Kluyveromyces lactis: one gene and its partners. The protein of the gene in region 1 interacts with the protein of each later gene in a pairwise test. Links are inferred from orthologs where the notes say so. Each region holds a gene or a part of one and is shown on either strand. Other genes may lie near its edges. The genes, in order: TMA23, RPA34 and PRP43.

What was found.
Region 2: the proteins of TMA23 (region 1) and RPA34 interact in a protein complementation assay, tested with the Saccharomyces cerevisiae proteins (2 studies listed by BioGRID). The link is inferred for Kluyveromyces lactis from reciprocal best matches to the Saccharomyces cerevisiae genes TMA23 and RPA34.
Region 3: the proteins of TMA23 (region 1) and PRP43 interact in a two-hybrid assay, tested with the Saccharomyces cerevisiae proteins (2 studies listed by BioGRID, with this or other methods). The link is inferred for Kluyveromyces lactis from reciprocal best matches to the Saccharomyces cerevisiae genes TMA23 and PRP43.

What each region holds. Positions count from the first base shown.
Region 1 is NC_006040.1:170,583-173,195, reverse strand, and holds TMA23 (Tma23p), read left to right. Parts: upstream 1-1,411; coding exon 1,412-1,960; downstream 1,961-2,613. Other genes in the region: ECL1 (Ecl1p), read right to left, coding at 1-79; MDM1 (Mdm1p), read left to right, coding at 2,181-2,613. UniProt on the Saccharomyces cerevisiae protein: Trans-acting factors of the ribosome biogenesis process.
Region 2 is NC_006037.1:552,771-555,463, reverse strand, and holds RPA34 (DNA-directed RNA polymerase I subunit RPA34), read left to right. Parts: upstream 1-1,476; coding exon 1,477-2,061; downstream 2,062-2,693. Other genes in the region: rRNA-processing protein LAS1, read left to right, coding at 1-184; transcription factor TFIIE subunit TFA2, read right to left, coding at 2,166-2,693. UniProt on the Saccharomyces cerevisiae protein: DNA-dependent RNA polymerases catalyze the transcription of DNA into RNA using the four ribonucleoside triphosphates as substrates. Component of RNA polymerase I (Pol I) which synthesizes ribosomal RNA precursors.
Region 3 is NC_006038.1:40,964-45,226, forward strand, and holds PRP43 (DEAH-box ATP-dependent RNA helicase PRP43), read left to right. Parts: upstream 1-1,320; coding exon 1,321-3,624; downstream 3,625-4,263. Other genes in the region: protein kinase COQ8, read right to left, coding at 1-774; KLLA0_B00583g (protein kinase subunit beta), read right to left, coding at 3,856-4,263. UniProt on the Saccharomyces cerevisiae protein: Pre-mRNA processing factor involved in disassembly of spliceosomes after the release of mature mRNA.

The DNA of each region.
Region 1 (2,613 bases):
CATTATCCAATTGAGCATCGCAATTACCACGTTCAATCAATTGGCCACAAACGGTACAATAATCGTTGAATGCTGACATCGTAAACTAGTAGGTATTGCGCAGACAGGTATCCTCGGCTTCACTGGCTTGTGAAAAGGTTTTCTCTTTCCCTATCTATCTCGTGATTACACTTGAAATCCCCTCAGCTACTATTTTCACCATATACCCAATATATATATTGCTTATATATATGTATTATATAAAAAGATTATGGACATCGTGCCTTAATCTCAACTAAAGGTGAGCTGAGTTTTAGCAATTAGGTAATGAAATAATAATGACCACACACACATGCGAGAATGTTCAAAACGTCTAAAATGTTCTCAGGGCACACGAGCACACATACACCGCCAGAGTTGGAATTTTTCTCCGTCATTACACACAAATCGTGGCACCATGACACATGACACAAGATCGTAAAGACGCAGGTTTCCTAGTGTCTAGCCCTAGGCCCCATTCCGAATCGCCCAGGATCGCTGTCGATGACACTCGAGTCCTCTGGAGTCTTTCTCTGAGGTCTCTTTCTCAGTAGGTCGGAATGAGCCACGCCATTGTCCACACCGTGGGAAGGTGAAAAAAAAAATTTTTCACCATTTTGCTCATCGCAACAGCGAAACGAAAGGAAGCGAAAGGAACGGTGTTAGCATCACATACGCACGTTTGTCAGTGTATTTTTAGCAAGTCTTCGCCCGTTCTCGTTGTTTACTGATTTAAAACGGTTTTCTACACGTTTTTGTTCGGACCGGGCATCGATCCAGCCAGCCCTGTTTGCTAAAATTGGGGATTTATAATCACTCAAGGTGCCATATGCTCGTTGAGTGATTATTTAAACACAGGTCACGTGCCGGAGATCTTGATGTACATGGTTTAGAGTTTAGAGTTTAGAGTTTAAAGCCCACTCAGAATACACACACGCCGTGTCTATCTGTGGAGTTGTGTGTTTTGAATACCAATTAATTAGAGGTTTCTTGGGGTTTTGTGGTTTTGTCTCAGGCGGAGCATGAAACGTACACGTTTCATGGCCTCAACTCATGGAGCCAGCCACGGTGTAGCCCCATGTGTTAAGTAATTTTAGATCCTCCATAGAGTAAGTCTTGGCAGTGTGGTGACAACCTTAAATGACACAGGAAAAGAAGAAAAACCGTGGCACGTGATGCTATTGCTCCGGGTAATGATGAAGACTGTGTTCACGTGACCACAATCGAAATGTTTCTCTTTGAAAAGAAATTCTTCAACTCGCGATGAGATGAGATGAGAAGATGATATACAGCAATTAAAGTGACATTGACATTGGTAAGATTACCGATCTGTTTGCTGATCTACCATTGTGAATCCCCGATAATTATACCTCAGTTCCACCATATATTACCCATGGACAGTAAAGGGTACCTTAAATCGTATGGCTGGCAAGAAGGTGAGGCCTTACGGAACGGAGGACTGAAAAAACCGATTCTTGTGAAACACAAGAAAGATAAGAAAGGGCTTGGATGTGCACCAGGACATGATGACAGTGAAGCCTGGTGGGAACGTTTGTTCGACGGACAACTTCGAAACTTGGACATCAAAAGCGGGTCCGATGGGATCTCGTTCAAACAAAACGAAGTCGTCGCTTCTTCCATATCAAAGAGCGATTCACCACTTTATCGATCATTTGTTAGAGGTGAAGTGTTGAAAGGTACCATTAAAACAGATCTGCCGTCCAACAATGGATCTACTATAGTTAAACTGGCTGTTTCTGAAGTGACATCGAAGAAAGATAAAAAGAGCAAAGACGAGAAGAAGAAGAAGAAGAAGAAGAAGTCGCATAAGGTTGACAAGCCAAAGAGTAAGCATAAGAAAGACAAGAAGGATAAGCATAGGAAAGACAAGAAGGATAAGAAGGATAAGAAGGGTACACACAAGCGTAAAAGTTCACATTGATGTTCTCTTTATTTTCTTCTTGCAGCATCATCCCTCCATTGTACGTACATGTTGTATATAAAAATTCTCGTTAGATAGACGATTTAAACGCATTTAGTTCATTTCAAGGTTTTCAACAAATAGTGTAAACAAGCTAAATTATTCCACTGTCGAAAAGATACTGCCCAAGACGCGGCTTAACAGCATTCCATTGGCAGCAGTCCATATATTGAATTTCTAAATGCCCAGTTTCAAGTGGCATGTTTTGTTCGTGGTTCCCTTCTTCTTGGGGTGGGGGGAGTGTTTGTTTGTCCTATCGGTTGCGTCTCTTTTGTCAATCATTTGGATATATCTTGCATTAAATGAACAACCTCGGGTGCTCCCAACAAAACCAACGCTAAGGTTCACAGGTGATAAACCTATTACCAAAACTTCAGATGATGATAATTTTGCCGGTCAAGAAGCCTTGTTCCCCAATAACGAAGCATTATCAAAAGAAATTGATATCTTACTCAATAACATCATCAGCAATTTCATTTTATCCTGGTTTGGATCAATCAGTGAATCAGACAAATTTCCCAATACTGTGAAATCGGTGTTAAAAGAGGCCATAATACGATTTTCGATTGCTCTCTCAGATGTTGACCTTTGTGAGTTGATGATTTTAAGAATAC
Region 2 (2,693 bases), on another chromosome or scaffold:
TTCAAGGAAAAGGACGTCTTCTGAAGAAATAGAGCCTGTTTCGGAAGATTCCCCGGCCTTGGATATATTGAAAGACTTGAATGAATTGAAAAATCAGTTCAAAAAGATCAAACAAAGCAATGCCCCCATCTCCAACTGGCAAGAAGTCACCGAGTGGACGCCTAGACCATTTGGCGTTTTGTAATTAGTATAATTAAGCCTTTTAGATACATAAGACAAAGCAAGAAAGATTGACAGTTCTACAGGTTCTGCGATGATAACAGGATTGAAAATGGAAATGGATAATAACATATAAAAAGATCAGACATCCTAGGAAGGTCTCAATAAAGAGCGGTCACTGAAGAGTACTAACGATGGGTTCGTAGGCGTACTCCTACCGTGGAAACTGCGAATGTAAAGGAACCAATTTTCATCATATAAAAAAATGTTAAAATCCATAACGCACAATCATGTTCTTAGCTAAAAAGAAGAAGTGAAACGTTTTGAAGAAATAAATGCAACAGAAGATACGACGATGGATCTTGTTTCACTGTTACTTTGACCTTAAGAAAACTAAAAAGAGAAAACTCAGATGATCTAAATTGTACATGTCAAAGCATGTACTGGCTTAAAAAGTCGTTGCCCCGTAAGACAACAACATGGTAGACTCCCATATCGTCATGGTCGATATCGGACTGGGAAAGAAGTGTAGACCGTTTTCATCATCGTTAAATGTTTTGAAGTTCTTTCGTAAGGTATGAAGTAATAATGAATCCCACGTATATGCAAACTTTTACGTTTATTTCTTCATGGAAAAGGTCTCTTTTCCAAGCGTAACATAGACGAATCAGTGTTTCACGGCTGTGAAACACTGCTCCATCAAGGATACTATAAAGCTCACTTGCCAACAGCAAGTGAGGCTAGAGAACAACCTACAGAACTTTTCAATACCTAACCTGGATAAATGGTTTGATGAGTTTAACATGTCTAGTTTGTTTCTCATTACCAGCCTTTTTATATTCTTCGTGTCGAAGAAGCATGGAAAAAATTTTTGGAATAATTGCGTCGTTCGACATGATAATACAGTAAACCAAGTACTTAGGGCATCGATGTCATACCATTCAACGGGAATCATAGTATTAGTGATCCAATAAATGTTGCTCGAAGGCTGTTCAAGTCGGACATACCATTTCTCGATGGTTTGTGATGAACTGGAACAGATTTCATGAATACGATAGTTTGTTCCACGTGTTAACCACGTGCATTTTCCCGGGTAACGTCTAAAAAGAAAGAAAAGTCTTTCCCAAGATGAAAAAATTCGGTTTAAGCTCATCTCATCTCATTGCAGATTCAAATAGACACACAGAGGCAGATAAGTGAGGTTCTGTGTGGTCCTAGGGTTCCAATTACAGTTTAACTAGTTCAGGTGAGTTTTTGTTACACCCTTCCCTGTAATATTATTCCACTCGCAAAACGTTATAAGAAATATCTCAAACAATGGCCAAGGTCGACAAAACTCTTTCAAAGGAATACATCAGTGATAGCGACAGCGATAATGATGGATCATCAGAAACTGTAACGGACGTTTTCGTTCCACCTGAAAACTATAAGAAATGTACACATTTGAAATCATTCGTGAAGCCTAAGAACTTGAAGCAAAAAGAACTTTGGCTTATCAAACTTCCTAAATCTTTAGATGTCTCTAAGCTTTCGAAATTACCTATTGATTTCACAGCGGAGTCGGAAACTGGCATCGAACAAAAAGGTAAACATTTCTCTGTGAAGGAGGAAATCCAACAAGAAAATTCCACTTCTGGTGCATCTTCTTCTTCTGAATTGACATTATTGACTCCTGTAGATAAGACAAAGTTGACCGTCGATTCATCTGCATCAAGATCATTTGATAAGATCTTTACCATAAGCGAAACTGCAAAGATTCCAAGCATTGATTATTCTAAGGTAAGAGTGGATAGAAAGGATGTGTTGAAGGTTAAGGGTCTCAAGACTAGACATTTCGCAACTGGGTATTACGAGGATAAAGATTTGAAGAAAGTTAGCAAAAAAAAGAGAAAGCACGACTAGAGCACTCGTTCTGGTCTTTCTGTATATTATTTATATATAACGCACTGGTCATATTTTAATTTGGGTTATATGTAGAATACGTTCATTATAAAAAGTAGGTATCTTCATACCCTATCGGAATAATCTCTCAATATACCAGCCATATGTGTATTGGTAACTTTACCCTTTCTTGATCTACGTTTCTTGACCTCTTTCCTTGTGGTTTGCTCATTCTTGATCGTAGCAGGATCCACACTAGCAGGCTTGAGACCCAAATCTTGTAGTTTTCTTGGTAATTCACTACGCTGAGGTAGCTTACAAGCTTCCCACATCGTAACGAACTCTTCATCGATTTGCCTTGATGGACCAGCATGGTTATACCAGACAAACCTTGGAGAATTATCCTTCTTTGTCCGAAGAACAAGGATTCTGTTCTTTGCTTCTAACTCGTCGATTGTATCAAAACATTGTGGCCAACCATCTTTTAACTCTTTACATGATATACCCTTGAACGTCGCCTGTGATCTTAATAGTTGTAGCAATTCCTCCGCAGAATGCACATCGTAAATGGATACGTACTGTAAAGTGTTCCTCTTTGGGTCAAACTTGAATTTTTGTAACCCCTTTAACATCGGAATCACATTATTATCCTT
Region 3 (4,263 bases), on another chromosome or scaffold:
TTGACCAATGCTTGCTGCAGCGATAGGAGTCCTGTCGAAACTCTTGAATTTCTTTTCCCAATCAGAACTCAATTCTCTAGCCAGTAGCCTGTCCAACTGTCTTGGAGGCATATAATTAGCACTGTTCTGAACTCTTGAAAGTATCGTGTATAATTGCGGAGGTAAAACCTTCTCATCCTGGAATGACATTAGTTGGCCCAACTTTAATGCTGCTCCTCTCATTTGAGAGAATTTATTTGCAATCCTTTCAACATTAGAATCTGATAACAGTAAATCTTTAAAACTTGATGATTGGCCACGACTCAGCTGAGTGATACTTTGAGATGCAGCAGAAATACCCACACTAGCAGCTAGGTGGCCGTAATGAAAAAGCCGAGAGATACGTGATGAAGGGACTTCTGAACTTTCCAGTTTATTAGCCTTTTGTTTGTTCACCAATTTATCCTCTGGAATAGCGTCAGCTGCTTTATTAGAACACCTGTGATAAGATGAAAAATGTCTCACATTTTTTTTGTTCTTGACTGAGCACTTGCTAAGGTGTGCTTTTTTAGAAGAGTGCCCTTTCGTAGATTTTCTGACGGATTCAGAAAGTTTACGGGCATGTTCCCAGTCCTTGTCGTAAAACCATTGAAATTTAGACAGTACCGGTCTTGTCAAAGTGGAAGTTTTTAGCCAAATATCAAGAGACTGTCTACCAATCGAGGCAGAATTTTTTACCACGTTGCAGAAGGACTCTGATAAACAGATAGCTTGATATAGCCCTTTTCTCGACATTGAATACAGCGATACTTCTCGATATCAATTAATTCAGCCGAAGAACTATCAGATATCACAAGATCAAAAATAAAGGGTGAAAGTATTTGATCTATCCAATGATACTACGAGTCAATGGTCAAATTCATGAATATACAGCGTAATAAGAATGGATTAAGACTCTGTCTTTACTTTATTACCTTTCCTTATTTCATGAGAGAGTCGAATCGTACAGATATCTTGCAGAATAATCCATCTTTTGAATTTCAAATAGATGCTTGTTTGCTTGCTTGCTCTTGCCATTCTAACCTTTGTTATCCGGGTAATGATGGAATTGCGATTTTGACATATGGACGTGTAGTTTTTTCTTTTTTAAAAATTTTAATGCAAATTGTAACATTAAGCTCATCTCATCTCATCTCATCTAGTGTAGTTCAATACTAGAGATAGTAGGTTAAGTGGTTATAAAATCCCCTGAATATTAGATACTACTGCTGAGTTTGGTTTACTCCGTTAGAGATTATTCGCATTACCAGTTGCAAAACATCAAACGTTGAGTAATTGACGATGGGCAAAAGAAGGTTTTCAAACGAGCATGTGTCTGCTGTTGAGACTTCTATTCCGGAGCATGCAGCTGAAATCGCAGAAAAATTAACCAAAGATCACCCTCCACCAGCAGCAGAGCCTTTAATTCATCATGATTCTGGTGAGTTCAGCGGGATGCAACGCCATCACACTACTGCGGCCGATGCCGAAAGATTGGAAAATGGATCAGTTAATCCATTCACTGGTGGCTCACTATCAGAGAAATATTTCGGTATTCTAAAGGTAAGAAGAGACTTGCCAGTGCACGCTCAAAGAGATGAATTCTTGAAGATCTATCAAGAAAACCAGATCATGGTTTTTGTTGGTGAAACGGGTTCCGGTAAGACCACTCAAATTCCTCAATTTGTGCTGTTCGATGAAATGCCACATTTACAAAATACTCAAGTTGCTTGTACGCAGCCTCGTAGGGTTGCTGCCATGTCTGTGGCACAGAGAGTTGCTGAAGAAATGGACGTCAAACTAGGCGAAGAAGTTGGTTATTCCATTAGATTCGAAAATAAGACCTCTAATAAAACTATCTTGAAATATATGACTGATGGTATGTTGTTAAGAGAAGCCATGGAAGACCATGACTTGAAACGTTACTCTTGTATCATTTTAGATGAAGCACACGAACGTACTTTGGCAACAGATATCTTGATGGGTCTTTTGAAACAGGTTATTGATCGTAGACCTGATTTGAAGATTATTATCATGTCTGCTACTTTAGATGCTGAGAAATTCCAAAGATACTTTAATAAGGCGCCACTTTTAGCTGTCCCTGGTAGGACACATCCAGTGGAGATCTACTATACACCAGAATTCCAAAGAGATTATTTGGATAGTGCTATAAGAACTGTTTTACAGATCCATGCTACGGAGGAGAAGGGTGACATTTTGTTATTCTTAACCGGTGAAGATGAGATTGAAGATGCTGTAAGGAAAATATCATTAGAAGGGGATCAGTTAATTAGAGAGCAAGGTTGTGGTCCTATCTCTGTATATCCATTATACGGTTCTTTGCCTCCACATCAACAACAGCGCATTTTTGAACCTGCTCCTGAATCCCATAATGGAAGACCTGGTAGAAAAGTCATTGTATCTACTAATATTGCAGAAACCTCTTTGACTATTGACGGTATTGTGTATGTTGTTGATCCTGGTTTCTCTAAGCAAAAAGTTTACAACCCAAGAATTAGAGTTGAATCCCTTTTGGTCTCTCCAATTTCAAAGGCATCAGCTCAACAAAGAGCTGGTAGAGCTGGTCGTACCAGACCTGGTAAGTGTTTCAGACTATATACTGAAGAAGCTTTCAAAAAGGAACTTATCGAGCAATCATATCCTGAAATTCTCCGTAGTAATCTTTCTTCGACAGTCTTAGAACTAAAGAAACTAGGCATTGACGATTTGGTGCATTTCGATTTCATGGACCCTCCTGCCCCAGAAACTATGATGAGAGCCTTAGAAGAATTAAACTTTTTGGCATGTTTAGATGACGATGGTAATTTAACACCTTTGGGTAGATTGGCTTCTCAATTCCCTCTTGATCCAATGCTTGCGGTAATGTTGATTGGATCCCCCGAATTTTCTTGTTCCGAAGAGATGCTAACGATTGTCGCCATGTTATCCGTACCTAGTGTTTTCATTCGTCCTTCGAAAGATAAGAAAAGATCAGATGACGCAAAGAACATATTTGCACATCCTGATGGCGACCACCTAACATTATTGAATGTCTACCATGCATTCAAGTCAGACGAAGCTTATGAGTACGGGATCAACAAGTGGTGCCGCGACAACTTTTTAAATTATAGATCTCTATCTGCTGCTGACAACATCCGCAACCAATTGGAAAGGTTGATGGTTCGTTACAATCTCGAGTTGAACACTACAGATTATGACTCCCCTAGATATTTCGATAACATTAGAAAAGCGTTAGCTGCAGGCTTCTTTATGCAGGTCGCAAAAAAACGATCTGGCGGAAAAGGTTATATCACAGTCAAAGATAACCAAGATGTTTTGATACATCCTTCAACTGTTTTGGGCCATGATGCCGAATGGGTTGTATACAATGAATTCGTTCTAACCTCCAAAAACTACATTAGAACTGTAACATCAGTTAGACCTGAATGGTTAATAGAATTAGCACCAGCTTATTATGACCTCGATCACTTCCAAAAAGGTGACATTAAACTATCGTTAGAAAGGGTAAAGCAAAAGCTCGATAAAATGGTGGAGCTACAACAAGAAAAAAAAAAAAGTGCGAAATCTAAAAAGTCTAAGAAATAACCAAGCATATAGATGTGTAACTTATATAATAAGATTAACCTTAGAATCAGCATGATAAGTCTTATTGTAGAAGTATTGTGCGGTATTATTAGCACGCGACTCAAAGTCTACGTTTTTTTTGCTGCATTTTATTGAAATTCGGTATGGTGTACGTTTTATATTCAACCCATAAGAACTTCGCTTATGATATTTCAGTGTAAAAAATATAAAATCAAATCTCTAGGAGTGGTTTCATTGCAATGGCGCATATAGTATCTGTGTTGCATATTTTCTTTTGTATCTAACGATGCTAGCAACACATAAAGTATTATGTTTAATAGAAGACGTTGCTAAATGATTAAGAACGACGTGGTTAGGAATTGGCAACGCACCTGAATTATTTTCACTACCTGGTTCAGCATTTTTGTTGTAATTATTGAGAATAACATTCTCCAACTGAGGTGGAAGTTGTGGAGGAGTTAACCATGACATATTTTGTTGATTGTTCTGTTGCTGGTCTAATGTGAGATAATACTGTTCCATCACCGAAGGATCTGTAAAGACAGCAGGGATATCCTGAGTATACTCATAATCGGTCTTTAGCTGTTGTTCCTCTTTGAAACGGGTGTATCCGTTTCCCATATCATCAGGGTCTTCTTC